4 linked regions of the Astyanax mexicanus genome follow. The protein of the gene in region 4 interacts with the protein of the main gene of each other region in a pairwise test. Links are inferred from orthologs where the notes say so. Each region holds a gene or a part of one and is shown on either strand. Other genes may lie near its edges. The genes, in order: spg21, slc25a48, hoxb9a and mid2.

Evidence for each region.
Region 1: the proteins of mid2 (region 4) and spg21 interact in binary tests that used the Homo sapiens proteins (3 or more experiments, as listed by UniProt). The two-hybrid records come from large-scale screens. The link is inferred for Astyanax mexicanus from reciprocal best matches to the Homo sapiens genes MID2 and SPG21.
Region 2: the proteins of mid2 (region 4) and slc25a48 interact in binary tests that used the Homo sapiens proteins (3 or more experiments, as listed by UniProt). The two-hybrid records come from large-scale screens. The link is inferred for Astyanax mexicanus from reciprocal best matches to the Homo sapiens genes MID2 and SLC25A48.
Region 3: the proteins of mid2 (region 4) and hoxb9a interact in binary tests that used the Homo sapiens proteins (3 or more experiments, as listed by UniProt). The two-hybrid records come from large-scale screens. The link is inferred for Astyanax mexicanus from reciprocal best matches to the Homo sapiens genes MID2 and HOXB9.

The regions. Positions count from the first base shown.
Region 1 is NC_064423.1:9,407,267-9,414,774, reverse strand, and holds the start of spg21 (maspardin), read right to left. Parts: upstream 3,006-7,508; 5' UTR 2,922-3,005; intron 1,817-2,921; 5' UTR 1,815-1,816; coding exon 1,752-1,814; intron 1,495-1,751; coding exon 1,333-1,494; intron 1-1,332. Other genes in the region: clpxa (caseinolytic mitochondrial matrix peptidase chaperone subunit Xa), read left to right, coding at 4,339-4,393, 5,995-6,146. UniProt on the Homo sapiens protein: May play a role as a negative regulatory factor in CD4-dependent T-cell activation.
Region 2 is NC_064417.1:38,903,948-38,910,943, forward strand, and holds the start of slc25a48 (solute carrier family 25 member 48), read right to left. Parts: upstream 3,014-6,996; 5' UTR 2,858-3,013; coding exon 2,812-2,857; intron 1,126-2,811; coding exon 1,082-1,125; intron 1-1,081.
Region 3 is NC_064426.1:33,305,605-33,312,564, reverse strand, and holds the start of hoxb9a (homeobox protein Hox-B9a), read right to left. Parts: upstream 3,014-6,960; 5' UTR 2,700-3,013; coding exon 2,186-2,699; intron 75-2,185; coding exon 1-74. UniProt on the Homo sapiens protein: Sequence-specific transcription factor which is part of a developmental regulatory system that provides cells with specific positional identities on the anterior-posterior axis.
Region 4 is NC_064417.1:41,297,217-41,304,736, forward strand, and holds the start of mid2 (probable E3 ubiquitin-protein ligase MID2), read left to right. Parts: upstream 1-4,498; 5' UTR 4,499-4,785; intron 4,786-7,520. UniProt on the Homo sapiens protein: E3 ubiquitin ligase that plays a role in microtubule stabilization. Mediates the 'Lys-48'-linked polyubiquitination of LRRK2 to drive its localization to microtubules and its proteasomal degradation in neurons.

The sequences.
Region 1 (7,508 bases), on a different chromosome or scaffold from region 4:
CAAATGTGCAGTGTACAGCTTGATTTAGGGCTTGACAATGTGTCTTTGGTATCGTAAGGGTGCAAAAGAATACGCACAATTCTCTTAATTAATCATGGGTGTGTTTTGGGCGTAAGGTGAAATAAACCAACCAGGGTTTCACTTGCCTTTTCCTTTAAGAAGCAGGTGCTCTCAGTCTTTGGCAAATTGATATTTTAACAGCGCAGTGCTTCTGCGCTTCTCAGCAGAGAAAACTGACCTGCTTGTAGGCAATGTGAAGACGTGCAAGCAGCTCATTTATGGGAACTGCTATGGTCATATGGTTTCATTTGGTCTCATATGGTTATGAGAGACATGTCATCTGCTGGTGTTGGTCCACTGTGTTAAATCAAGTCCAAAGTCAGTGATGTAAGATTTTCTGGGAAAACTGACTTTGGACTTGATAGAACACAGTGGATCAACACCAGCAGATGACATGTCTTTCCAAACCATCACTGATCATCAGTAAATATTACATTTCATTTGTAAATCAAGGAATCAGAGTCTGGAGGAAGAGTGGAGAGACACACAGTCCAAACTGCTTGAGGTCTAGTGTGAAGTTTCTACCAATCAGTGATGGTTTGGAGAGACATGTGATCTGCTGGTGTTGATCCACTGTGTTTTATTATCAAGTCTAAAATCAGTGCAGTGTTTTCCCACAAAATCTTACAGCACTTCATGCTTGCCTCTGCTAACAACTTTTATGGAGCACACTGCCCACACTGCCAAAAGGACCAGTTTTTGTTATATAATATTCTATTTTCGAAATACTGACTTTTGGGTTTTTATAGGCTGTAAGCCAAAATCATCAACAATAAAAGAAATAAAGAAACTTTTATATTTTTTTTTAAATGCACGTGTATATTTAAAATGTGCTGATTATGTCTGCCATATAAGAAAATGCTTGTTAACAGTGACAACTGTCATTGACACTTATTGTCAAATATTTGAGTAATTTGCTCTTTCATTTTTTGATGCTTATCTTAAAAGAAGAGCTTTAATGTAAAACAGCTATGCAATAGTTTTTAAAGAAAAAAATCTATTCAATTTAATTGAACTTTGTCATGATACCAGTACAGGGTTTTACAGTACAACAAAACACTGTAGGACTAATTTTCCGGTGCTGTGATAAGAATAGATAAAAGGAAAGTTTCAGATGATACTTACAGGTTTCAACATGAAGTGAAACCATTTTACTCATAGTCATCTTTGAAAAATAAATCTCTCCTTTAAGACAACTTAATCTTCACTAGAACTTTTGATTTGTAAAACTCTACAGACACTCTGAACAATGGTCAGTTTTAAGAAACTTACCGAAATTACCCGATAGCCCCAACCGGTGAGAGCCAAAATCTGCTGAAAGAAAACCTCAGCTGTACCGCTCACAGGAGGAAGGAAGATGATTGGGCACCTGATGGTCTTTGGCCCGGCGTCGTACAGTGACCAAACTTTACTGTCGTCATCATCCACTATGATCTGAAAAGCAGCAATCGCAGCACGGTGTCACAAGCACAGCAGCCTGGCCTCAGTCACATTCCTAAAGGTGCTGGATCACAAGGCTATCACATGGTTCAAATCATGAAGAGATGGAGCGACTTAAGAAGCCATAAAGAAAGGGTCATGGGATATTAAACACAAAAAATACCACTAATTTTAAAATGAAATCCAATAACAATCAGACCATACAACCTGACCTAGTTGTACTAAAACATATAACAGAAGCATAAGCTTACCCTTTTCAGGGGCACTGTGCTTCGAAACCAGTTGTAGTCAGGAGACACTCTTATCTCCTCCATTTCTAAAATAGAATCAATTTACAGGTTAAGACACAAGAGAGACTTAACACAACTCTGTACAGAACTCTGCGCAGGACTCTGTACAGAAACAATGCTCCTCAGTAGCGGCTGAAAGGGCTGCTTTGTGCAACATCACATTCCTTGTTAAAAGTGAACAAATAATTTAATTACAGCATTAATGTTAGAACAACACCAGAACACATCCAACATGGCCTGCTGTGGACCACTTAATGTCAGTGCAGGCACTGCAACTGTAAAATAACGTTATATTGAACCATATAACACCTGTTATCAACACTTACTCTAAAATTGCAGATTGACACTGAAATAATAACACAGACACTAGTCATTTTAAATATGATAGATAATATGTGGACTCTACTTCTCAATTCTAATAAAACATTTATTTAAAGGATTCTTACACCTAATATACACAATTCACCTTAAAAATATCAGAAAAAAACAACCATGTTTAATGCCTAAATTGCTTACACAAAAAAAGTGGATATTTTTTTATTTTCGTGCCCAAAACAACATACATCTATATTAAATAGTGACAATAAATCTAAATAAATCTAGGAAAAAAGGTAACTACAGTAAAGCCCCTGTCTACTTAACTATCAAAGAAAAAAACTGTACACACAACAGCTTACACAGCTTTTATCTAATCACGTTGTTAATGATGGATCACTTTGTCACACACACTAACCTAACCTAGCTTACTCGCTAAGATAACTCATGTTTTTGTCACAATTCCTATTATAGTAACTGCATATACTAAACGATATCACTTACTAACAACATGTCTGGGCGCAGAATTACAGACATTTCTCCTGTTAGACCCAGAACTTTCGGTTCCACCTTAAAACAGGGGCATTAGCTGCGTTCCAAAGGGTGTTCAGGCGGCAGTATTAACAGCAGCACAATTTAAGGTGGAATGGAAAAGTCGACTAGAAAGCCAAGTTCAGCTGGTCGTGTGCTCTAAAATACGGAGTAAAATAGCGATATTCTAACATTGAAATAAGCCCCGAAAATATCTTAAAGGGCTGCATTATATCACAGAGCTGTTAATATAACAGTACTGTGCTTTGTTTAGATGTGTTTTACCTTTAACGGAGACTTCAGCCTCGGATCAGCACCATTTTAGCAACAAACCGAGAAGTCATATGACAGCGAGTTCCGCATCTTACACACGGCTCTGCGCATGCCCAGTACGACCACCACGTTATGGTGACGGAGAATATTTTAAGCATTAAATTATATTTTAATAAATCAAAAATAAAATGTAATAATTATTTTTATGCTAATAACATAATGTATTCCTTTAATAAATGTAGTCTAATCGTTTTTTATGTTAATGGAAATAAAATAATTGACTATTTTAATTTGTATTTTAATAAATATAAATTAACTATTACATTTAATTATATACGTATAATATTTTTATTATCATCCGGTCATTGACAAAAATAAATACATAAATATATAAATAAATATGTAAACAAACAAACAAATAATTATATAAATAAATAAATACATACACAAATGCTGTGTTCTGGATTGCTGCAAAATGCCTCCTGCTGTTACAGTATAAATATATATATATATATTTATACAGACTGGAACCATATTATCTTTAATGTCAAATCCAGGATCTATCTGTTTGGGATCCCACAACATTTGAGTTTGAGGCCTCGTGGTGAGTGCTTCAATCCTGTCTGTAGTTTATAGAATAAAACAATAATGTTCATTTTACTCAAACATAATATACCTATAAATAGCAAAATCAGAGAAACTGATTCAAAAACTGAAGTGGTCTCTTTTTTTTTTAAAGCTGTAAACCTGTGTAATATCGAAATTTGGCATCGGCCTAGAAATCCCACATCGGTGCAAGTTTACATTTGTCTAGTGTGCCTACTTTTTTATTTATTTAAAATATAAGGAGAAGATAAGCTTCCATGTAAATGAATACTAACATAGCATATGTAGACAGAATACCATTACAATGATGTTGATGGCTATAATATTCTTCCGGGGATGACTATTGTACAATATTTTTTTTTTCTATTGTACAATACATAACGTTACAGCTGATGTAATTACTAGTGAAAAAACATAGGTTTTTAATAGCTGGCCTGTATTTCTGGGGGTATTTCAGGTTATTCAAAATCTCCTGTACTGTAATAATCTGGCGTCATCTGGCCACAACCCACAGCAGCTCTAAACCTCCCCTCCAGTCACCTGGGTCGGTGTCCCTCAGAGCAGGCTGACGTTCTCTTTCCTTCAACTCCTGACATTTTCATTTCACCCCAACGGACTAAGGAGGGCAGCAGTGGACCTGCACTAGTTGTTCAACGCTCAGGTCCGCTAGCTTTAGCGAGTTCAGCAGCTAACTGAATGGTGGTGATGGTATACAGCTGGGGAGCAGGTTAGAATATCTGCTGTTTATTATATTCCGGTATTTCACTGCTGAGCTGCTATTTACTCCAGCTGAACTAGAAGAAGTTAGCTAAGGCAGGAAACCATGTCTTGTGCCTGCACCTCAGCAGCGAGACTCTTCATAAACTCAGCTCATAAAGGTAAGAGACACACTTTATTATGCTGCTAAAACTTTAGCTCTAGCGTTAGCTTAGCACAGACCTGGACTGTGGGCTAGCTAACACTAGCTAGGAGATAAAATAAAAAATAAGCTTATTTTTTGGTCAACATGGAAAGTTCTCTAAACACTGGATATGTACTTCTAATAAACTGTTGAGTATTGTAGTTGTAAGGCATGTTTTTTAGAGTACAGGGGAGTTAATACCCGGTTAGCCAAAGCTAGCTAACCTAACCTACCTGACAGACATTTAACCAACCTAGCTAACGTTAGCTACCGGCTAAACAACGGAGCAGCTGAAGTATGAATGTTGATACACCAAATTGCTACTATTTAACTTACAGACATATCTAAATCGGTTTAACAGTGTAAGTTAGTAATTTTTTTAAAGTCGTTCACTTAATTTAACAATCCATTACATCATATAAACAATCAGTTTAATAGCTAAATTATTCCTTAGTTTAATAAACCCTTCAGTTATTTATTCCCTTATAACTCCCTTAGTTTATTAGCTAGCTAAATAATTTAATTATTTTTTCCCCTGAGTTTAATAAGTTGTTTCCTCGGTTTAATGAATCGTTTCCTCAGACTAATGAACTGTTGCCCTAAAATAATGAATCGTTTCCTCGGTTTAATAAATTATTTCCTCAGTTTAATAAAATGTTTTCCAGGTTTAATTAATCGTTTTCTCCGTTTTAATAAGTTTGTTTCTTTCATTTTTAGTGAATTGTTTCCTCAATTTAAAATATTGTTGTCTTTTTATTTAATAAATCACTCCTTCAATTTAATAAATCGTTCCCTTAGCTTAATAAATCACTCCTTCACTTAAATAAATTGTTCCTTTAATTTAATAAGTTATTTCTTCAGTTCAATAAATCATTTCCTTAGTATAATAAACCTCTGCTTTGGTTAAATATTTTTTCTTTCAATATTTCCCTTGGTTTGGAGTTGGGTGCTTTCGTTAAATTGAGACAGTAATTAATTTAATCCAAGGAGCGTACTGTTGAATAAAGCGAATGGTTTGTTTATGTAAGGTAACAGTGTATCAAATAAAAAAGGAATTGATAAATCAAGAAGTAGTAAAACATCTACACTGAACAGTGAGTTTGACTTTAATAAGTATTATTTAAAGGCTTTAAACTGAACTGACTGTAACTCTACAATTTTTCTCATATTTTGAGCTACCTGTTTGTTTGTTTTTTTTTAATAAAAGGAATTTTGAGATGCACTTGCATTCACCGTGGTTGGGATTAAGTGGCGGAGGGGCTTCACTTAGGCCTAAGTTAGGCCTGTAACTAAGTGTGAGATTGATTAAATTAATTATTTCAAATGCAAAGTGTGTTTGTGTATATTTAGTTTGTTTGTTTAGGCTGTGGTCAGTTGAATGTTGTGTTAAGCAGTTTAACCTGATTGTGTGTAGATGCAGCTTCATGTAGACCAGGTGTGGCAGAGAAAACAAACAAGAACTCTCAGATATTTTACGCAATTTAGATTATTTTTCATACTTAAAAATAAGTACATATGGTCATCCTACATTACTGTGTGTGTGAGAGTCACTAAAATTATTTTCTATGTTTTGTCTAGGAATACATGGATCAAGAGTACAGCTGTTTTCTCTTAGCCGAACAGGATCTCATGAAATTCGTTTGACCCATAAAGTCCCTGTGAGATCTTTCTCAGAGACCTGTGTGTACTATGCATCCAAGGATGGGATGAAGGATGGAGATGGTGGAAAGGTAGTTCTGTGTTTATTTCTTTAATAAATCCCTATGCTTAATGGGATAAGAAATTATTAAAATTGTCTTTGTCTGGATGTGCAACAGGTTGGCAAGCATGGGTAAAATAAAATGTTATGTTGTTTAGCAAATTTAAGTTTTCTTATGAACATGTTCTTTTATTCCCTTAGCAATACCATTTCAACATTTTGACAGTGGACAGAGCTAATTACACTGACATGCCCAAAATTATAAGACATTTCTATTGTGCCTTAAATGTGGATGTGATCACACACTTATTGTGCTGTTTACAATAAGTTCAGGTTTTCTAGATCATACACAAGTGACTCTTTGGATAAAGTATTAATACGTGTCTAAACAACTTCCAAATTAGAATGTGTTGTCTATTTGGTGCAATCTAGCTCTGATAATTCACATTGCCTTGCTGTGAGCACACTGGCCAGTGTTCAGCCTTACTCACAAGATAAAACCTCACAATTTATACAGTTGTAAGTGTTCTCAAGCTGTCTCCTGAGATAACATTACTTGAATGTAATTACATAGTGCTATCCCATGACCTTTGACATGTTTGTGTAAATGCAGTTATATGTGCACCGCAACACATTCAACATAGCCTAATGCAATGTTAGGGCATTTCCACACCTGTAGTTGGTTACTATAGTCTAGTTGATCAGTTGATAAGTTTGTTTACTTGGAGCATTTTCTCCCTCTGTTTGGTTTGGTTTCACACAGGCATAAATCTAAACTCAGCAAAATGCTCACCTATAAACCACGCAAGCACATTGTCTCCTCTGATTGGTCAGACTGTCTGGTGCAGGAGCAAGAAAGTAAATATAGCAAGAAGATTTTGTGTGCCAGTTCCAGTATATCTATAATATATCTGTAATATATATATATATTTTCCTTGCAGTGTATAGTGTATTTTTGAAATATTTTATTTAAAAGTGTTTTGTCATATCTCCAAGAGTATTGTTATTGCAAAAATACCATGAAATATCGTGGTATTATTTTAGGGCCATATCGCCCACCCCTACCGCAGATGTACACTTAGTAAATGAAATCGTGCAGCTGCGAGTGCAGAACTGCAGCACACCCAGCTAACCAAATAACGTTGTTGTTACGTGCGCGCGACGTAACTTGGTGACCAAGTTATCACATTAATTGTGCATGTAAACAGCATGTAGCAGAGTTTAATAGCTGTGGTAATTACTGTTATCAGACAAATATAACAGATTAAACTGCACCTTATCAGCAGTTAAAGCTCAAATAAAAATAGTATATTTAATAGCTGGATCAGATACAGACCAGATCACGTTCTCACCTCAAGTGAACCGCTCCAGAGTTTGTTTGGGACCGAACCGA
Region 2 (6,996 bases), about 2.4 Mb from region 4:
TTCATGTTGCTGGACTATTGCTGAAGCTTTGCAAAATAAGTCATGAGGGTGGGTAGGATCAATGTTTTTGTGTCTTGCTTGGCCCTCTATTTTTCATGTGTGCTTTTTGGGAGAATTATTTAGTGTTTTATTGTTGGGAATATTAAGGACTTGAAACTATTTGGAACTGGTGCCTTTTTCTTTTGGGATCTTTGACTTTTGTGTTTCTCTTTTTGTTTTTGTATGGAAGTGGATATATGTATCTATATAAAAGATACTGAACAATGTCAGAATTTTCAGTACCGGGATGGGGTGGTGGAGTGGGAGGGGGGATTACGCTGGTATGGCCTAAACTTTTGTCTTTAATGCCATTTTTCCCCTTACATAAATTTAACTTTTACACTTTAACCCTTTCAGACCCTGCATACATTACAATGGACAGTGTTTTGTTGCACATAACACTATTTGAGAGCTGTTGTCCATCAGAATAGGCCATTAACCAGCCAGTGAACATGTTTATAAACCAATAAAACAGTAGCTTGGCCCCGCCTACTGCACTGAAAAACAGCAGTACTAGAGCCACTAAGGCCTTAAAGTGTAAAAGTTAAATTTATGTAAGGGGAAAAATGGCATTAAAGACAAAAGTTTAGGCCATACCAGCGTAATCCCCCCTCCCACTCCACCACCCCATCCCGGTACTGAAAATTCTGACATTGTTCAGTATCTTTTATATAGATACATATATCCACTTCCATACAAAAACAAAAAGAGAAACACAAAAGTCAAAGATCCCAAAAGAAAAAGGCACCAGTTCCAAAGACCATTTTTACTAATTTAATGTGATTTAGAACACTTTTTATTCATGTTTTTTGTGTGTTCTGTGTTTAGGGATGGTTTACAAAAGACAAAAAGAAACAAAACAGCATTTTTTTTTTTTTTCATCACTGGAGATAATTCAGGTCTGAAAGGGTTAAGTCGTTTTAAAACCAGTATTTTTACACTTTTATTAGTAAAAAAAAAAAGTAAAAAGCTTGAGTTGATGTAAAAATGTAAATTCTTATTTACACACTGTTCTTTCAGACAGAAAAACAGGTTCATATACCTTAACTGTATCGAGTGGATGTCCTACAATCACGCTGGAGGCACCTGAAAGAAAATAAAGCAGTATTATTGTGTGTGGGCAAAAAAAGTGAATTATTTTAAAAGGCCACCACAGGCCACGGGGAATGAGGAGCAGCTTGTTATGACAGCTTCTGTGGGTGGACGTCCTAGCAGCAAACTGATGAATAACACTTTGTCCTTTTTGATGAATACAACAGCATTGTGCTTTATGGGTGTCAGAACACAGACAAACAGCAAGTAGTAAAAGACTGACACAACGCCAGCAGGCCGGCCGGCAAGCAAATCTGAGCACTGGGTGGCCACACAGGCCGGTAACCCACAGAGCCTCGAGCTCTCTCCCCACAGCAATATGCGGTGCAAACAAACTTGAAACCCTTTAAACTCCTAAACTAGGAGTCTGGGAAAACCTATCCATGCTAAAAAAATACAGCTGGTAATTCAGAGAAAACATACCCTGTGCTGGTCAAAATCTTGTTAATGAGCTTGCCAACCAACATAGGGTGAGTTTTTTTCTGGTTGACTGGGGTGTTCTGTCTAGTTGTGCTACCTTGTCAAACTGTGCTTCCCTAGTGTATATTTAACTTAAAAAACAAAAAAACAAAATAACCACTATATTAGGGCATGTACCCAGTAGAAGTAGGTTAGTATATTTGGATAGCATAAACCACTATATAATGGTAAAGATATGGCAATGAGAGTCATTACAAACTGCTTTTGAATTTAATAAATATATATATATATATATTTATTATTCATTTCCATTTAAAATTTTGTGCAATGACAGTAGGTCCAGGTTGTTTAATGCAAAAAAAAAAACAGATTTAATACAAGAAAATAAGAAAAATAATTAAAAAGTGAACGTCAGCGCATGCGCAATACCTATAGGAAACACGTATCGATGGGTAACATAACTCGACAGAACACCTGCTTTTCTTGTGCTGGAGTTTTTTACGTTTAGCAGGGATAGCTTTTTTTTCACTAGTGGAAGCCCTGCTGAAAAAAAACAAGCAAACAATATGCTGGTAGTTTACCTCATTCAGCTAGTTTGTTCCTTACCAGCATAGAGTACCTAGTTATATTTTTTTATATCTTTTTTTCTGGCTAGCTGGTCTTGAGCTGTTTTTTTGCATGGAGCTTATTTCATATAAACTGGGGAGGTTCTGTAGTGTCTTTAGGTGTGCAATCATGTTTTTTCTATCTATCCATATATCGTGCTTGCTATGTGCCATTGCAGCTATATGCATTTCAGTTGCACTGAAAAAAACGAACAAAAAGAACAAAAATGCGAAAAAAACCCTGCAGAAACTGAGGTAAACTAAGGACAGAAACGCCCCCTAAAACAAACAAGCAAACAAAAAAAAACTATTTTACGGTTTCTGTGTTTATTTTCTTGGGTATTTCTTTCTTAAAACTCCACAACTGTCCACAGAAAATCACGAAAAAAGCTCTGCTCCTCACATTTAAGTTATCTAACAATAGCTAGCAAACGGTTCTGGCAAACTGTTGCAAACGCGGCTCGATCTGGTTACTTTTCAACTGAAACAAACAAGCACGTGCACAATGTAACTAAACTAGTAACTAAACTAGGCAATTGTGATGAAATATTACTATTTCTGTCTGTTATTATTATTATTTTTTTTTCAGTTTATCCGCCTCTGTGGCCACATAAACACACAGCAACAAGCGAGAACACACAGAAAAGCCACTCACCTCCGATCCATCCAGCCAAAAAATCATCCAACTGAAAAAAAGCCATCCTGCTCGAGCTGCTCGACGCTTCGCTCTGAGGTAAAACTGACTGATGTGTTTGAGCACAGACGCCCCTCAGACTTCCGAGTACATTTTAAAGCTCATGGGCGGATTCTGAAAGCCCACAGCACCCAAACAAGCCAGACCTGAAGCTGAGAGCACAACTTTCCCTCTGATATGTGCATTTTGGGGGCGTTGTTGAGATACAAAGTCTGAGCACCAATAGCGTTGCGAGGAAGGCTGGCTCTCCTTATCAGGATCAAAACATATACCATGGTGGCACACTTCCAGCTAACTCATAGCCTTCATATAGATTATAAGCTGTAAATGTATAGAAAGGGGCACTGCCACTTTACTGTCCTGTTAGTTTGGCTTACTTTATGCAGTTCTTTAAGAAGTTGCCCGATGCAGCCAATTTCTGTTTTAGAACTAGTACTGACTGACCCATATTAAAACTGAAACCTTTAGTATTTGACCGATACTGATCTAAAATGTATTTATTTATTTATTATTATAAAATGCGTACTGTAAAATTATAATCACACAGATAGCAAAAGTATGTAGAATCAACATTATAAAAATTCTTCTTTAAAACATCACTGATCTCCGATGTCAGAACTGATTTATTCAACATTGATTCATCGTTATGGTAGTGTATAATTGTGTATAAAGTACTAGAGACCCAGACTACAAGTACAAGTGCTTTATCAAAAAAGTGACTTGAATATAAGTAGATGTGTTTTTAAGCACCACACTTAAGTGGAGGTACTAAAGTATTCAACAGTTTTGGAATTTAAGTATTGCGAGTACACAGAACAAAAAATAATGGCTCAACTTAACTTAGTCAAGTCATCATTTTGCCTTGACTCAGTTAGGTTGTAAACATTTAGAATTTTAAGTTCATTCAAGTTAACTGAGTCAAGTTATCTTTTAGATTTTGTAAATACATACAATTTCGAGTCAAAACTAGATGATAACTTAAATCATTTAAGTTTATTTAACTTAACTGAGTTTTGTTCACACAACAATAGTTTAATTAACTTAACTGTTTTTTTCCCAAGTATTGTGGGCTTAAGGAATTTAGCTGTAGGTCCAGGTCAACATACTGTGACAACTAGGAACACAGAATAAAGGTAACTTGCTCTTACAGCCTACAGCACTGAGGGCTGACAATCAACAAATATATTACTCTAATTCATGCCCTGGATAAGGTAGCTTTGGGCAACAGACAACACATAGATGGTAAGTAAGGAAGAGGGCACACCCAATATGCAAATATAGCTGTATGAAACAACAATGTAAAAAGAGCATTGACACGTGTAGTACACTAAAAGTTGGTTGAAGTCACATTTTTTAATTGTCTTAACAAACATTTTTAAGTTTTCAGGTTGAAGTTCTCTGAGCTCATTTTATTGAGTTGTACTGGCCGGTAAGTTCACTCAACTTTATAATATTAGTTCTTCTGACTAAAACACTAGAGTGTAGTTTATTCTTAAATGTACTACTAAGGTACTGAAAGTAAAAGTACAGTACTTTGTTATTAGTGTAGTTATTACAGAAAGTACTGGAAAGTTTTCAGAGTGAAAGACAGAATGAGAGAAGTGCTCTTATTATGAGATCAGCTTGATTGCTTCATTTACTTAATGAGGAGCTTCATCAAAACCGGTAACAGTGCAGATCATCTACTGCTCTGGCTTAAGTGATCATGAGGGTTTGGAATTGTTTGTAACTTTTTTGTAATTGCAACGAGTAACGATGCAGCACATAAAATATATTAAAGTAAAAGTATTAAACTCATGAAAAATATGCAGTGAAGTGAATGTGGAAGTAGGAAAAAATAATAATTCTTCAGTAGATACAGATACAGCAACTATACATCTCTGGTTGTTTTTAATACATTTTACTGACATTAAATAAGTATATCTTGTTTGTATACTTTTCTTGTAGCTTATAGTATGTTCTTACGATGTATCTTATAGCAGCTTATAGCGTGTAACAAGATGCAAAACAATGCAAACTGACCAGTTTTACCAGTTGGGGAAAAAACAGGAACCACTAGTGAGTTAAGAGGTTAAATAAATTTTCCAGCTTAGAAATAAATATTATGTATCAATGTTCAAACATTACCATAATTATTGTGTTTGTCTAACTGTTAATACTGCATGATAAACTTTCTAAATGCTTACCCTCTTGCAACTCCCTCTGATCACATCACACAGTGTAAGGTTGTGTGTGTTATTTTCAGGCCAGATCAGAATAAATTTATTCTCCATAGCATTAGGCTGTGGAGCTGTAGAATCGCCTTCTATGCAGTAATAGAGCTTTATCTGATTCCTTAGGGATGAGTTGGAGTGGAGGTTGTGATCCAGAACTAATCATTCAACATCAGCGCCTAACCTCCCTAATGATTAAATGTAATCAAATCCTCACTGCAATGTCCTAACACCTTGAATAAAGCCTTCCCAGATGAGTAAATATTGTAAATACTTTTGATTTCTAAAGAAATACTGGATAAGCAGGTGTCTACAAACTTTTTGACACACAGAGCCAGTCTTTCAGACTCAAGCATAAAGTAAAAGCATTGTGTCGTAGCGCCAGCCCACTGCTTGGTTGTTGTTATTCTACTTTGGCGCATGCGCGCTGTCTGCCCTTCTCCTGTGTGTACCCTTCCCCCGCTTCGCTCTTCAGTAAAGTTGTGCTGTTATCACACACACATACTCTCTCGGCTGTGAGTTGTTCCTAATTACTGGCGTGGTGGCAGCGCAAAGTTACCGAACCCAGCCTTTCATCTCCACTTTCTCCAACTCCGACGAACGTGTCAGCAGCCGAGGTGGTAGTTTGAGTGAACTACAATTTACGTGATGGCAGCTAATATCAACCGTGCACCGAAACAATGGTGTCTGACCAAACAAGAGACTCTGAATTCATTCGAAAACTGGAAACAAAACCTACTATACACACTCTCGATGGATCCCGTGTTTGCTCCATTTCTCATCGATGGCACGTCATGGGGTAAGAAGAGCCGTGATACTCCTCTCCGAGGATTTCAAGATGATGGTGAGTCACTTGCTGCAGCACACAGGCGGACTGCCCAACAAAAAGTTCGCCAGTTAGAACTCATGCTAGGCCAAATTGCCAATTACTGCCCTGTGATTTCTCGTAACACTATTGTCAAAAATTCCACATCCGTGGAGGGCATATGGCAAGCCATTCGTTTACATTATGGCTTCCAAACCACAGGGGCTCAGCTTATTGACTTTGTAGACATTCATTTAGAAGCAGACGAACGTGCTGAAGATTTATATCAGCGGCTTATGGCCTTCACAGAGGATGGTCTCCTTAAGGCAGCCGGGTTAACTCACCATGGCGTTACTCTAACTGAGGATGAAGAGCTGTCCCCGTCCCTTGAGAATTTTGTAGTCGTGTCATGGCTGCGTTTGATTCATACTGACCTACCTAAGCTTGTCAAGCAGAGATACGGCACTGAATTGCGCACTCGTACATTGGCGTCTATTAAACCCGAGATTTCCCAAGCTCTAGACTCCCTGCTCTCTGAAATCCGTTCAGCTGACGACGCCAAAATCATGCGAGCAGCCACCTCTAACCGCACATACAGTGGCGCGGTACCCCGTCAGCCCCTCTTCGGTGCCCTCAAAACACAGATGCGATCAAGCCCACGAGAAAAGTCGTGCCCCCTGTGCACACAAGCAGGCCGTCAAAACAACACACACTTCCTCAGTTCATGCAGATATTTACCCGAACAAGACCGTAAATTCATGCTCAAAGCCAGGCAGATTGTCTCTGTGCTCGGTGAGGAATCCACCGACCCATCCACTTACCACGTATATTCTGATGACGAGCCACCTCCCCCTGTGTGTCCTGAGCTCACACAGCCCCACACTGCCCGCGCTGTTCAAGTCAGACAGTCACCGTATATAGACACCTTTTACAAACACCACCATGCACGCATCATCCTCGACACAGGCGCCACTTGCAACATGATCAGACTGTCTGCTGCGCACCGCCTTGGTGTTCACATGACCCCAAGCTCCCAATCCGCTCACCAGGCTGATGGTTCCTCTCCCATGAAGGTGGTGGGCGAGACCCGTCTTACTTTCAACCGGGGTGCCAATAAGTTCCACTTCG
Region 3 (6,960 bases), on a different chromosome or scaffold from region 4:
GGTTTGATATTTCGTGTAAGGACATCGCTTCTTCCTGGACGAACGGGCGTGCAACCAGTTGGCCGATGGATCATCTGCAAATGACAACACAATCAACGTTTGGTAATGAGAAAACTGTACAAAAGATCAGATGGTTATATCAAAACTTGAGATAAAATTTAGAGATGCGTGCAGACTACTATTACAAGCAGACATAGTGGTCCTTTGAGTTCATTGAATGTAAAACATAACTTGCAACTACTACCATTACCTTAAATAAGCCTATACAAATTGCCTAAATGGCTGGTGTCCACAATCAAAACATTAATCCGACTAATTCAATTGTGTTGCGACTTTCCAGTCATGGCTTTGTGTCATTCTAAACCATACTGGAATGCATTTGAAACCGCGATCCGTTGAGCCATGATATTATCTCCTTTTAGGGAGAAATATGAAGAGAATTGTGACGAGAGTGTAGGGCTCCTTTTCCTCTGTGGCTTTCTCGGGAATGCAGATGGGAATGTTTAAAAAATGTTTCCATTAAATTGCCTTTGGGATGAGACAGCAGACTGTATCGCGTGCTCTGTTAGCAACAATGTTACTGCTCAAGACTCTATGTATGAATTAAAAATCAATATCATTGAAAACGGGTACCATTCAGTTGTGGACTACTAATGTAGAAGAACATTCTTATCCATATAACAGAGGTCAACATTTTCCCCAAACTCGGAATCACTTTATCTACAATCCAGCAACGTCTTGTCGTCGAATGACAAACTATCAAATGCTGGAGACATAACTCGGCCCCAGCGAGGGTCACGAGCTTGAACGTTAGAGACTCACAGAAAGCTTTTCTTGCTGCAGCAATTTTCTTCCACGCATACATCGTCTAACACATTGAACCGCTCACTCCAGTCTTACATTAACTGTCTTAGATATCTCTTGTGACGCACTTTCTTTATATCACGAATAGGAAGAAACCCCTATCAAGAATTAGGCATGTGTCATTTATCTAGGCCTTATGTACATGTATGAGAAATATGAAGTCACCCACACTTGCTGAAATAATAAACACTGCCTGGATGCATGATGCTATTCGTTTTATAGCGAGAAAAACATTCCTATTTCCTGTTTGAAGTTTCTTTTTTGGCAACGTCTCCTGTCAAATTAGTTTTAGTACAAATGGGGGTTTCATAGTTGAAACACGCTATTGCATTTCCTCGAGGTCAGATATAGTATAGTTGGTCATGTACATATTTTGCATTATACATCCAATAAAGGACACACAGAACAATAAATGGATATGTTGGTTCCCCTTAACTTAATAAACTTGGTGGGCAATAAGCTTTATCCTTCTCCTGGGCATCCACGAGCACAACGTGTGCCATGTAATTCTCAACATTCATTTTTTCTACAGTTTATACTGGAGCGACGCCCAGGGCAGCACAATGGGGATTTCTGTTGCGCTCAATTCCATTAATGTTTGTGTTGATCGAGCCTACTTCGGGAATTAAAATCGATGTTCTTTCCACGTATTGGAACATAGGCTACGTATTCCAGTCACCTTTGTAGTGGATCATTTATGAACATTGCCAAATATAGCACATATTAAAAAGGACTGTTGCTCATGCTTTACTTCTGAGTTGGTTCCGGGGTAGCTCTTATTGTCTGTGCTTTCCATACCCACACATGAATTGGTGTAAGTGATAATATACCAATAGTCAACATCCAGACACATGGTCAATTACAACAGTTGCGGAGTAGTTTGTGGTGTTCCATTGTCGTTGCTATCTTACAACTCACTATGCAAGTATTTTTATATTTAAAAATATATATAGCCTCTGGCTACAAATATGGAATACGAAAGACAAGAATCTAAGTAGTACTGAAGCGCAAGTAACAAGCGTTGACGCAGAGAGAGGGAGAGAGTGGGGAAAGAGAGATAGAGAGATTAATTATCTAAACGAGGAACAACAAAGTCACAGTAACTGCACTAAACATTCGCTTTTAAAATCACAAGCATGCTCAACTTCTCATGAGTTCTGTATTCATGTTGCCTACAAACATGCCTGCTCTCGAGCTCTGCTTGCCACATGAGCAAACTTGGCAGGGTGGGGAGGCTGTGGGTCTCAGCAGTTGCTTTGTTCGCGTTTTATGGCAGCATTAAAAGCTTTACAGACTGTTTACTTCCTCTTTTATAACTTACTTTGATCTGGTCCTTCTTTGTCCTCGCTACCTTCACAAATGTCCTTACTGTCTTCAAATCCCGAGCTGTGGCCAGAATTCATCTCCCGAGCCGAGGAGGATTCCAAAACATATTCGTGCTGCCCTCCGAGTTTTGGGGGCTCCCCGAGATGTCCCAACAGTGGCTCCATCTTGACCTGACTCTGACCAGGCAACGGCTCGGCTCTCGGAGCGCAGTCGAGCCATGAACGAAGATACCGTGTATCCGTTGAAGGCACGGGCTGCGTTGGGATATAAGGATGGTAGACCGCCGGTAAGCCATTGGACGTGTGCGGACTGAAAGGACTCCATGACGAACTGAATACTGGAGGCTTGGGCTGAAAACTACACGAAGGGAATTCGGGATGCTCCCCGGTTCCCGGCTGCCTAGAATTGGAGTACTGTACATTGGCAAATCGGGCAGCGCTCGGATCTTCTCCCTCATGACTTATAATGGAATCGACATAGTAGTTGCTTAAAGTTCCAGAAATGGACATTCTCGGACATTATACACCTTACGGTTCAGTGAAGGGAAAACATGTACCATAGAAATGGGCTTCCCCCTTTTCAAAATGCTACCGCTACTCGTTCGCCAGCAAGTAGAGCCAGGCTGCTCTGTTGTGAGCTCCGAGCGAAATGATTGGTCAGTCTTTTTGCGAGCCTGATAAAGAGTCAATGGGGCGTAAATCAATCCGCCAAGGGGCTGCGCTGAGCTCTCCTCCTCTTGCGCTATCCATATTTTCGCCTCTAAATAAACTGTCTTGTTTATGTAATATGCAAAGTGGGAGTATGTGAATATATCCTAAGATATCTACAACCTGTCGGGGAAATATCCGCTTAAATTACACAACGTTTTGACAATATGAATAAAAATGCAAAGGCCTGTGCATACCAGTTACATAGTAAATATATTTTGTGTATATTTACATTAGAAAATGTAAGCATTTTTATATATTTAGAGCATTCCTAATCCTAAATCTGCAAAACAGTTTTCGTTAGTTTGAAAAAACATTCCAAAAAGCTTAAAAAGGTATCTACGAGCTCTAGTGAGGACAACATAATCCGTCTGTCAAGTTCATCTATCTTTAACGCAGTTTTTCTCTATTGTAACATCTTTGGGAACATTTTACAGCATTTCCTGGGCTTTTATTGTTGACTGGTCTTATTCGGGGCGCGTGGAGATAATACTGGGGTTTATAAGGAAATTAACGGTAATTTTTCTTAACGAGTGTGTTAAACAGTACCTAACGACAATTCTCTTGTATTTATGGAAGAAACTACTTGAACTTTTTCGTCGTTTAATACTATAATAAAATACTACATCAGCCAGCTTTGATTTTTATAGACCTGATATACTGCCTGTGGCAAAGACCGTAAACGAGTCTGCCGTAGGATTTAGCGCACGCGCTCATGAGGAAAAAAAAGATTCAGACACACTTGGTTTGAGAAATGAGTGCTAATTTAAAAAAAAATTCTATGAAAATATGACGTCATTTTTGGTGACTCCCTTTGTACAACAAAAATATATATATTTAGCCACGTTCCTCAATCACATACAAAATATAAACAGCATTAACCCACGTGCGCCAAATTATTTTCAGTTATGTTTTACATCACAGGCCCACAAAATAAATATATAAGCAAAGACCTTTCCAAAAGATGTGCTTTCATCATCACATGTATTGTTCTATTCTTTTTCATACAGTTCATTTGTTATATATTTTGAGTCTGAATGGTAAGTAAATACGTGTCTTTATTTACATTTCACCATTTAAATGTGTTATTTAAGAAACAAAGCACAACATTATAAAATTACCTCAAGGCCAAACACACTCTGCAACTATATACAAACAGTGTTAACTTCATAATGAAATACATTTGTGCAATAAGCTTTGGGAAAGCAAGCAACCACAAAAATGTTAAGCTCCTAAACACTAAATGCTAATCGCAATATTTCTACATTCCTTTGAGGTAAATTAGTACTTAGAATTTAAACACACTTTTTGAGTCTTCATGTTCTCCCATTTAGGGTTCATCTAGCCTGTTAAAATTAACACCATATATATCGTTTAACATTGGGAACATGTGTGGGCAGGGATTAAGCCTAGTTCTAGATTTTTTTTTCCTTTCAAAGGAAAATCTCCATTCAGAAATGTGGGTTTGAAGATGGATGGAGGCCTATTTTAACCATGCTTGCACAAGGTACCACTGCTATTCAACTAATTTGTGTAGTGTGTATCTGTAGTAGGAATTCCTACTATAGATACATATTCAGTATCTTCCAGTATGTCGGTCATGTTAATTTCTACAATTAATCATCAGACGATTATATATCTGCTTTTCTAAGCAGCTCTCAACGCTAATAACGTAGTACTACAGATATTGCCTTTATTTAGGTAAAGCTACATGCTATGAAATAATCAAATTACAGAATGCACGATTTCATTATTTTATTATAGGTATAGTACACATAATGCAAAATAACATAAAAAAAGTAATGGATTAAATTTACAAAGGTATACATTTACAAATTAGCGTCACACATTTAGAATTATTGACGAAATAACTTATGTATATATTTATTTTCATTTAGTTTAGTCAAGTTAAGCAATTTTGCTGCATGTTTTATTTTACTACACGCTAAAAACTAATAACTAAATGATTTTGAGAAAGTGCTGATTCTGAAAATAAAAATAAACAACATCTATTGAAAAACATCTGTTGTGTAGACAAACTATAACTCCAGTCATGGAGTCATTAAAAAAATGCATTTAAAAACTAAACTGCTTGTGTTTGATGGTTCATTGCTTCTGGTTTAATACTTTACAAAGTGTTTACTTATTTTGCTCACTTTTCTTATTGGTTTGTACTTTAGTCGATAGTGTGATCCACAATAAATACGACCCGTAAATAATGTCGACGCGGTCTATATATATAAACTGTAATTAATTTTGCATTAACCTTTTTATTTTTGTCAAGGCACAAGAAATACGTGTCCCTAACAAATACCACTATGCGCTTACCTATATGAGACTAAGCACCAAACTTAACGACACACACATACAAATGGACAGTTAGACACATTCATGCAGATTCATGAAAATAAATAAATATAATCCCGCTTTCGGTGTGGGCAGATTTACAACTGCTGCGCGCTTGAACATTCATAAAAGGTATTATGCTTGTGAACGAATTAATGACCGCACAGGAACGGCTGGGAAATATATTTTAGTTCTCCGCGCTGTTGTTTGTGCAACAGGTTGGCTTATATCAGCAAGATCTTCAAATCTTTTAGAGCTAAAGATAAAAATACTACGTAGGTTCCCAGTCAAGAATAATGCTTCTTTGTAAAATCAATTTGTTGCGCCAGTGCATCGATGTGTAATAACTGGAGTGATTCAGACAGTTTAAGGTTTCTGTGTTATTAAATGTTCAGCCCAACAATGTGAAACTACCTGATCACACATAAGCTCCAATTAACGCTGGAAGCACACCAGCAGACATGCAAGAGGGAGCTTGTGGGCTGCAGCGGATTTTAGGATGGGGACCAATGCAAGAAATCACACAGTTAAGCGAGCATAATACATGTAAATGTTAAATCAAAAATAGAAAATAATAAGATAAATAACAAAAAGACGGAACGTATGTTAGCATGCATGCGTTGTAGTTTTCAAATCATGGGCTGTGTCCCAGTATATAGTAACTTAAGTTCACAAACGCATCCGGTTTTTTTTTTACTTCAACAGCCGAGCCCGGTAGTAAAAGCGACTCGATTGCCACTGGTTCAAAAAAGGACCTCCTGTCCTGCTTGGCCTATGACGTTGGGACCTGTGGGCTCTAAACATGGCGACTCCCAGAAGCAGAGATCTAGTTCTCTCTCGCTCAGACAAAAAGGCAGCAGCTGTATTTTTTTGTGTTATATCCGCATATGTTTTGAATTAGTTTTCACTCTCAAATCATTCAAGGCAAGCTCTACAGCTTGGGAAAAATTAAAAACACACGACAATAGAGATACATTTCAACGTTGCCTTAAACAGGAATGCAACGTCTTTGACAATGCAATAACATGAAGGTCAAACCTCATTTCAACATTGTAAAATGTCATTTGTTCTGATATTTTACTGGCAGTCCATGTAAAAAATAAAAGGTAAACACTGGCGTTGTTTCTAAGACGGTACCAACGTTTCTGTGAGCCCGACTTTCACTGATACTCAAAGTCATGCTGAATGACTAACAAGCCGCATGGACTTCAAAAGCTAAATTAATAAATCCCTGAACATTGTTGTTGGTGATTTCACTTTTGAACTTCGGACTTTTGTATATTTGAGATCACAAGGCAGGATTCAATACAGAAAGAGCATAGACATCTCCTATGTACACATGCAATCCAATAACAGTACTAGCTCTATTTTGAGTTTTAAGGATCAAGAATCTAAAGATCTAAAGATAATCGGTTTATTTTAAAGTGCAGAAATGCAAACAATAAGAAACAGCCTTGGCATTAGTGTAATATATGGTGTGCAATATGTCAGTATTGGATTATAATGTGTTTTACAGTTTTTATTAATTTGATAACTAAACATCGACTGGCATCGACCTTAATTATCAACGTGGGTTTTAATAAAAGCGAACATGTATGTATAAAAAGCAAACCTGATTGTCCAATTTCCCTTCGGAATTAACTAGCACTACCACAATAATTTAAAATACATTCTATTAGAATGTTAAACGGAGTGCAAAGAAATAAAGGCCTTAAAG
Region 4 (7,520 bases):
AAACCAGAGCAGCTGTTTTATTCAGGGTTTTCTGTTTGGCTCATGATGAAAGTAAACACTGGAAATTAGTGTTTACTTCTAATGCAAGTGTGACAGCTTATAGTGATAAGACTAGGACTGTCACTATTGATTATGGCCTAGTGGCCTTAAGCTTGTTAGTGTTAGGATCATCCTAACTGTTAATCTAAGAACAGAGAGTGTTGAGTCTGAAGCTCATGCAACCATTAACAAGGCATCTGTTGTTAAAACCAGCTTATTTTAGTTATTAATTAAGATGGGCAGGGTAACAAGTAATATTTACGTTTTTTTTGTCACATGCTATCGAGAAAAACATAGATTAATGTGTACTTTTCTAAGCATTTGTGTTAAATGTGTTGTATATGTTGTGTTACATTATATAGTCACTTTTTGCATGCCAACGATGATATACAAAGATATGCCTACACTCATGATATACTGGTACATACATGTATCACAATGTGTCATCTCCGGGGACATCTTGGGAATGCCCAATTGTGATGTGCTATCTTGTTAGCCAGGTTGGATATTGGGCAACGTGCTCATGGCAAGGCGACGTGGCTTATCAAAGTTGGGTGTGTTGTGCCAGCATTTAACATTTCTCAATCCACTACTTTATTGACAAAAAAAAGATTAGTTTAATTTATTTAAAGCAGGATTTTTGCATTGACCTTTTTAAAAGGATTCAACATGAACTATTTTAAAAGTAAGTTGAACCATCAGCATTAAACAACCTCTTACATTAGTGTCTCCATCAGCTCTCTACACACATCACTCATACACCACTAATACAACCGTTTTAACAATAACCTTAAATCTAACACCTGTACCCGAATGTTCCTGTACTCGCTCACACACACATACACAGACACACACACACACACACACACACACACACACACTTAGGGCAGATACCTACCTCTCTCTCTCTGTCTCTTTTCTCTCTACTCTCTCTATCTATTACCACATAACATCAAACAAGAAAAAAAAATATATATATATCTTCCTTTTCTATTTCTCCATTCTTTTTCTGTAAATATTCAGATCTATTTGTTGTTGTTTCCTAATATTTGTATCTTGTTTGCTATAATCCGTTTTTTTTTCTTTTCCCTCCCCCTTTCCTTTTTCTCTTGTAGTTTACAAATTGTTCAGTTATTATTATTATTATTATTATTATTATTATTATTAATTCTCTTTTTTCTATGTATTATTATTTTTTCCCCCTTTTCTCTACTATCCCCCACATGAACCTAAATATTTTTGATTTCCAAACTTAAACTTTAGCAATTTAGTTAGGATGTACTGTACTTCTGGCTTAGTATAGACTCTAAATTACAATTTCAAACAAATTTAATTTCAAGTAAAATTTATTCTGTATGTTAACACCACTCTAATTCACAAAAAAAGAGATTTTGTATGATTTTATTTAATGTGGTGAGTTAATTAGTCTCTAAGACTATTAACAACTGAAACCTCTTGTCAATGACACCCACCGTCAATTTGTAGTCATTTCCCCATTGGCTACCACCTCTAAATAATTACAATTAAAAAATGTGCTGATATTGATTAAAGGTAGTTGATTTCATTAGTGCATTAGTGGGCACTTTGGTTTTTAGTCAACATAAAGTGTATTTATATGAGTTAAGAAAATAAAAACAGTTGTATATACGTATTTCAATTAAGTAAGGATAAAAGGCTCATCTTCTACTGATTTAGGTAAAAGCATCTGGCTTGTTGAGTCAACATATCTTTTTTCCCACAGGTCAGTGCAGGGTTCTTAAGCTTCCATGTGACATGGCAAAAGTCCTGGGACTAGTTCATAGTTCCTAGTACATTTTTTACAGCAATTCTATAAGTTATTCAGTGGTAAGTACTTAGACACTACTTTTTGACTTTTATTAAGTAGTTAAAAAGGGGAAAAAAAATATGTGTTTTTGTATGATTTATAGTACTTTGCCAAACTCTTGCAATCAATCCTAATAGTATATCACAATCTCATAATATTATACTGTAAAAAAGACAGGTTCAATTTGTATTATCATATTGTAAATGATTAGCTTATCATCACTTCATGAAGTAATAATTACTCTATCAATGATTTTCTCAGGCAAGTAATAGAGTATCATTTTTAGAGTGATTAAGATTGAGGCCCACATGCATCAAAGCATCTCTATAGTATATTCAGAGCCTATTACTCAAGTCCTTGAAGGTCCCCAGAGACAGGAGGAATGAGAATTTATCTCATGCAGATGCCTCTCAAGGGATTCCAGCCTTTTAGCTCTTTAAGCCCCTCTTGCCCTTTCATTTGACTTGGACTTTATTTTTACATCTCATCTGTTTACTTTACACTGCAGATGCATGCGTGTGTGTAATCAGCCGATGTGGGAATTATCAGCGATATTGAACGTGAATGCTAATGTGATCAGTGGCGTGCAGGGTTTTATAGAGTGCCGGAAGCTGTAGTATAGATTAAGCACAATATTAGACTCAGTGAAGAAGAGTGCTCCATCACTGAGGGTATTATCTTTAATGCACAGTACAGAGCGTGAAGTTACTCGGGCTGGAATCTTCCGCCCACAGTAATTGCCATTCCAAATTTTGCATGCAGTCAGAATTTACTCCCTCAGCTGCACTAGAGTTTCACAAACAGCCAGCACAGTGTCAGCCAGTGATTCTGATCCTGGTGCATTTTACACTCTGGAACTAATTCGCTTTCAAAGGGCTTTCATGCCCACGTTATGCATTCCAAGGAGACAAATGGTTGCACAAGTTATTTATGTGGAGATTTCTGAAGTTAAAGTTGTGTTAAATACCTACTTGTGCAACATTTGTTCTCTCTGAGTGCTTATATTATGGAGAAACAGGGAGTTCTCTCTCTCTCTCTCCATGAAAAAGTTCCAAGGAGAGATTTTCCACTTTAAAATCTGCTTGTAGTGGACGGGGTCCAATGTGGTCTAGTGCAGGAATGTGGTGCTCATTCCTGATCCATGTGACTTCAGCCTGTGCTGAGTGTTTTACAGCAAAACCAATCAGTCATTAGTTTTCTTGCTGTTTACACTGTAGTGGGCCAATACAATCCTATATAATTTTGAATATAGATACTATTTTATTGTACACAATTGTTTATAGGCAATAGTTTGTACAATACAAGTCAATTATATTAGATTTTCTGTATTGTGTTTTTTTTTACATTGTAATAATGTAATATATGTATGTACTTAAATGTACTTTAATAGGGAATCACTAGTTTAGTTTAAACCCTTCAATTGTTTTCCTTTCTAAACACCATGGATCTGTATGCTGGACAAGGACTTAACCTATAGACCATATTTTCCTTTCAGTAGAAAATCTCTATTAAAAATGCTGTTGACCTGCATGACCAAGTGGGTTGACCAGCAAGACCAATGTGGTTGACCAACATGACCACCATAACCAAGCTGGGTGACCAACATGACCACCAAGACAAAGGTGGTTGACCAACATGACCAGCAACACCAAACTGGTCGACCATAATTACCAACATGCAAAAGCTGGGTGATCAACATAACCAGCATTTTAAAAAGATGGTCGACCAGCACGACCAACATGAAAATGTTGGTTGATCAACATGACCACCAAGACCAATGTGGTTGACCAGCATAACCAGCATGACCAAGCTAGTTGACCAACATGACCGCCAAGACCAAGCTGCTTGATAAACACGACCACCAATACCAAACTGGTTAACCAACATAACCAAGCTGGTTGACCATCTTGACCATCTCAACCAATCTAGTTGACCAACATGACCAACTAAAAAAAGCTGGTCGATCAGTAACACCAAGTATCACCATGCTAACAGACCAAGATGACTGATGACCTAACTAGTAGACCAGCATTGCCAACAAAACCAAGATAGTATACCAACAAGACCAGCATTACCAAGCTTTTTAAACCAAATTACCAAGCTGATCAACCAACATGACCAGTAGACCTCCCAGAATCAAATGAAACATGAACTATGATGGTCAGGAGCTGGTTAACCCACTAAAACCTAACAGCATAAGATATGTTTTGCCTGGAAAAACGCTTTCAGTCACCTTCACCATCAAAAACAGGTTTAGAGCTTGCAAAACCTGCTACCAGTGGAGAGCAGTCATCCTAAACTGGCTGCTTGCTAATGGTCTGTGTAACAAGAATGCCAGTGGTTTGACTCCTGGGTCTCTAGTGGCATAGGCCACTGAACACACACACACACACACACACACACACACACACACACAGATAAACACAGCCCAGTGCTGCCTTCACATCCCAGTAAAGAATCAGCATCAGCATGTAGCCACAATACCACACTCTTGCTGGTCATGCTCCAGTGTTTGAGTGGGAGTCGGTGCAAATGTGTGTGTGTGCGTGCGCGCGCGCGCGTGAGTTTCGCGCATGTGTATGCGTGTGTGTGTATACAGAAGAGAGCTGGGTGAAAGCTCTTCCCGTGGGATGGTCACGTGTCCTCGGGGAGTGTGTGTTACTCTAGGAGCCTGTCGGAGGGGGAATATGGTCCACAGCCGAGCACGCGCGCACGGGGGCCAGTGAGAGCGCGAGAGAGAAAGCAGAGCGACCAGCTCTCCAGCAGGCGCCTTTTTTATTTTCACGACAGCAGCTGGGAGAAGCGCGCGAGGGGAGCTCCACGCTGCGCTCGCTCAACTTTCGGTGAAACGGCAGCGCGAGCCTCTACGCGCGTCTACGCTGGAGCGAGCGGAGGATCGTCCGTCCGTGCGCGCGTGTGAGGTAGGCGAGCTTTGGTTACGTTACGTACGCATGCATGGAAACGCGCGCGCGCGCGCCCCTGTTGTGTTGTAGCGTTTTGTTCATTGCTGGTGTTGTTTGTTGTTGTGGGTGAGTGAGCGTGCACTACGCTACGCTACTAACCCAGCTGTTGCACCTCGTGCCTACTGTAGCCTACGTATGTGTGAGTGCGTCAATGTGTGTGTGTGTGTGCAGTAGTAGCAGTAGTAGACACTACGCGTTTGATGCCATCTTTTATTATTAATGCCATTAATGATGCATAAGCTGTCTCTCTGCTCCAAGAATTTAAAGGTTGTAGTCCTGGTGCTAATCTTCTGTTTAGTACTGATCCAGCATCAGTCCACAGTTGTGGGCTTTAGGGTCTGTCTACACTGGTCTCTGAAGTCCTGCTGAACACAGATGACCTCTTAAAATGAATTAATTCAAGCCTCCAGATGTTTAGATGTTTCTTCAACTCTGCATGAGCCTGCATTTTCATATTCATGCTCCTCCTCAAGTAAATTCCGATTTAATGCCAAATTATATGTAAATGAATATGAAAGATAGAGCATTAATAATCAGGTTACTTCAGGTGACTCTGATTCAGTTCACCTGCTGGAGACTGGAACCTCTTGCAACTCCAGTACCAGTTAAAAGTTTTCCTACTTTGTAAATTAATACTCAAGTTATCCAACTTAGAAGGAATACAAAAGGAATCATGTAGTAAATGTAAAAGTATAGCTTTTATCTGGAGGGCTGTTAACTTGTGGTTTCTGATAAACTTATCCTGTTCAACAGAGGTAACTCCTGGTCTTCCTTTCCTGGGGCAGTCCTAATGAGAGCCAGTTTCATCATAACATTTGATTGTCTTTTCAATTACACAATTTTTATTGTCTTTAGTTATTAGTAGTTATTGATATTATATGGATTATAACATTACTCATACGGGGCTATTCACTGTATACCGACTCTACCACTTGACTACACAACTGATGCTCTCAAACACATTAAGTGAGCATTTGCATTAGTGCTGAATTGGCAATGAATGCTGGGTGTTTGCATTTGTTCTCATCAGCAAGTCACCAGATGATGAATTCTCTGTATTTAAAGAAGTAAAACTCGTCCAGGAACTTTAATGGTTCTTGGTAAACATATTCCTTAGATTTGAAATGCAACTTGAGAAGAAAATATGATGTCATGCAAAAACAAGAACACATAATAAGAAATGGCCAGACACACTCCACAAATCCCTACAGACTTTTATTTCCTTGTAAACACACTGGAGCATTAAAAAGCATTGGTTTGAGACTTTATCTTGCCTCAGCATATGTGTCACTGCTGAAAAGTAATCACATTGCAAAAACAAAATTTAAAAAAACTAATTTCTATGCAAATCATATTTTTTTCTTAGTCACAGCTTTTAATACATGTAATAACTGTTTAGTAACACTAACAATGCGTGTAAGAAACAGTGTATCTATGGGGGAAGTACAGTACAGATACAAATCAATTACATTACACACATCAACACTTGACTTGTATTTAATAGTGTAATTTGTTTACATTATATAGTGTGTTTATGAATTTGTACATGTAATATAGTATGTGTGAATTGTTACATGTAATATAGTTTGTGTGTGTGTTTTTTACATGTAGTATAGTGTGTGTGTGTGTTTTTACATGTAGTATAGTGTGTCTGTGTGTGTGTGTGTGGGTGTGTGTGTGATTTTTTACATGTAACATAGTGTGTGTGTGTGTGTGTGCTTTTTTACATGTAACATAGTGTGTGTAATTAGTTGTGTAAAATGTCTGTTTCTTTAACAGCTCTTGTCTGGTATAGAATTAGGGTCCTCATTGTTTTTATTACTAAAAATCATAATTCAGATTTAATCATGGTAAGATGGACAGAATGTTCTGCTATGTTTAACTGACACTGATGCACACATGTAATTACATACCATGAATGACTGTAATCAATATTTAACTGTGCAACCACACACATATATCCACACATGTGTCATCGCAGTATTCCCTGACTTACAGGGGACATGGAAAATGTATTAAGACAATATACTGTGTTTTTTTTTTTGTCCTGTGACATTCAGTCACAATGCAAAAATTCGAGATTCAACTGATTGAAAGTTTCAAAACCTATGGTTTTCTTCCCTGTTAAACTTAAAAGGTTATTAAAATGAGATTAGCTCAAATTAGTTTAAAAGCAACGATATATTAAATATATGTATCCATATATTAGATTCCATTTGGCACATACACATCCTACATTTGCTTTACTTTGCTAAGATTTGATTACTTTTTTTTTATTACGTGCTTAACCTATAATAAATTAACATTATACAAACCCTAATATAAACAAATTAATATTATGTTTAGTGGTTTGTTGATTGGTGCTAAATATATATGAAATGTTTTTTTTCTGCCTCTAAAAGCCACACAGTAAATTTGCCAGTGTTAAAAACACTTTTAGAGTTAAATTAACACTGCAAGTTTTTTATTTTATTTTTTTACACTAAAAGTGTTGACACTGGCAAATTCATTGTGCACAATACTGGAAATTATTACACAGGATTACGCTTGAAATAAATAATAATAATAAAAAATATGGGTGATATAGTTATAAAGGAGTTATAAAGAAGACATTTTGCAGACATTCTGCAAATGTGGGGAAATTCATTTTCGACAAGCAAGGCTTAATTGTTTCCCAAACTTTTCAACTTAGA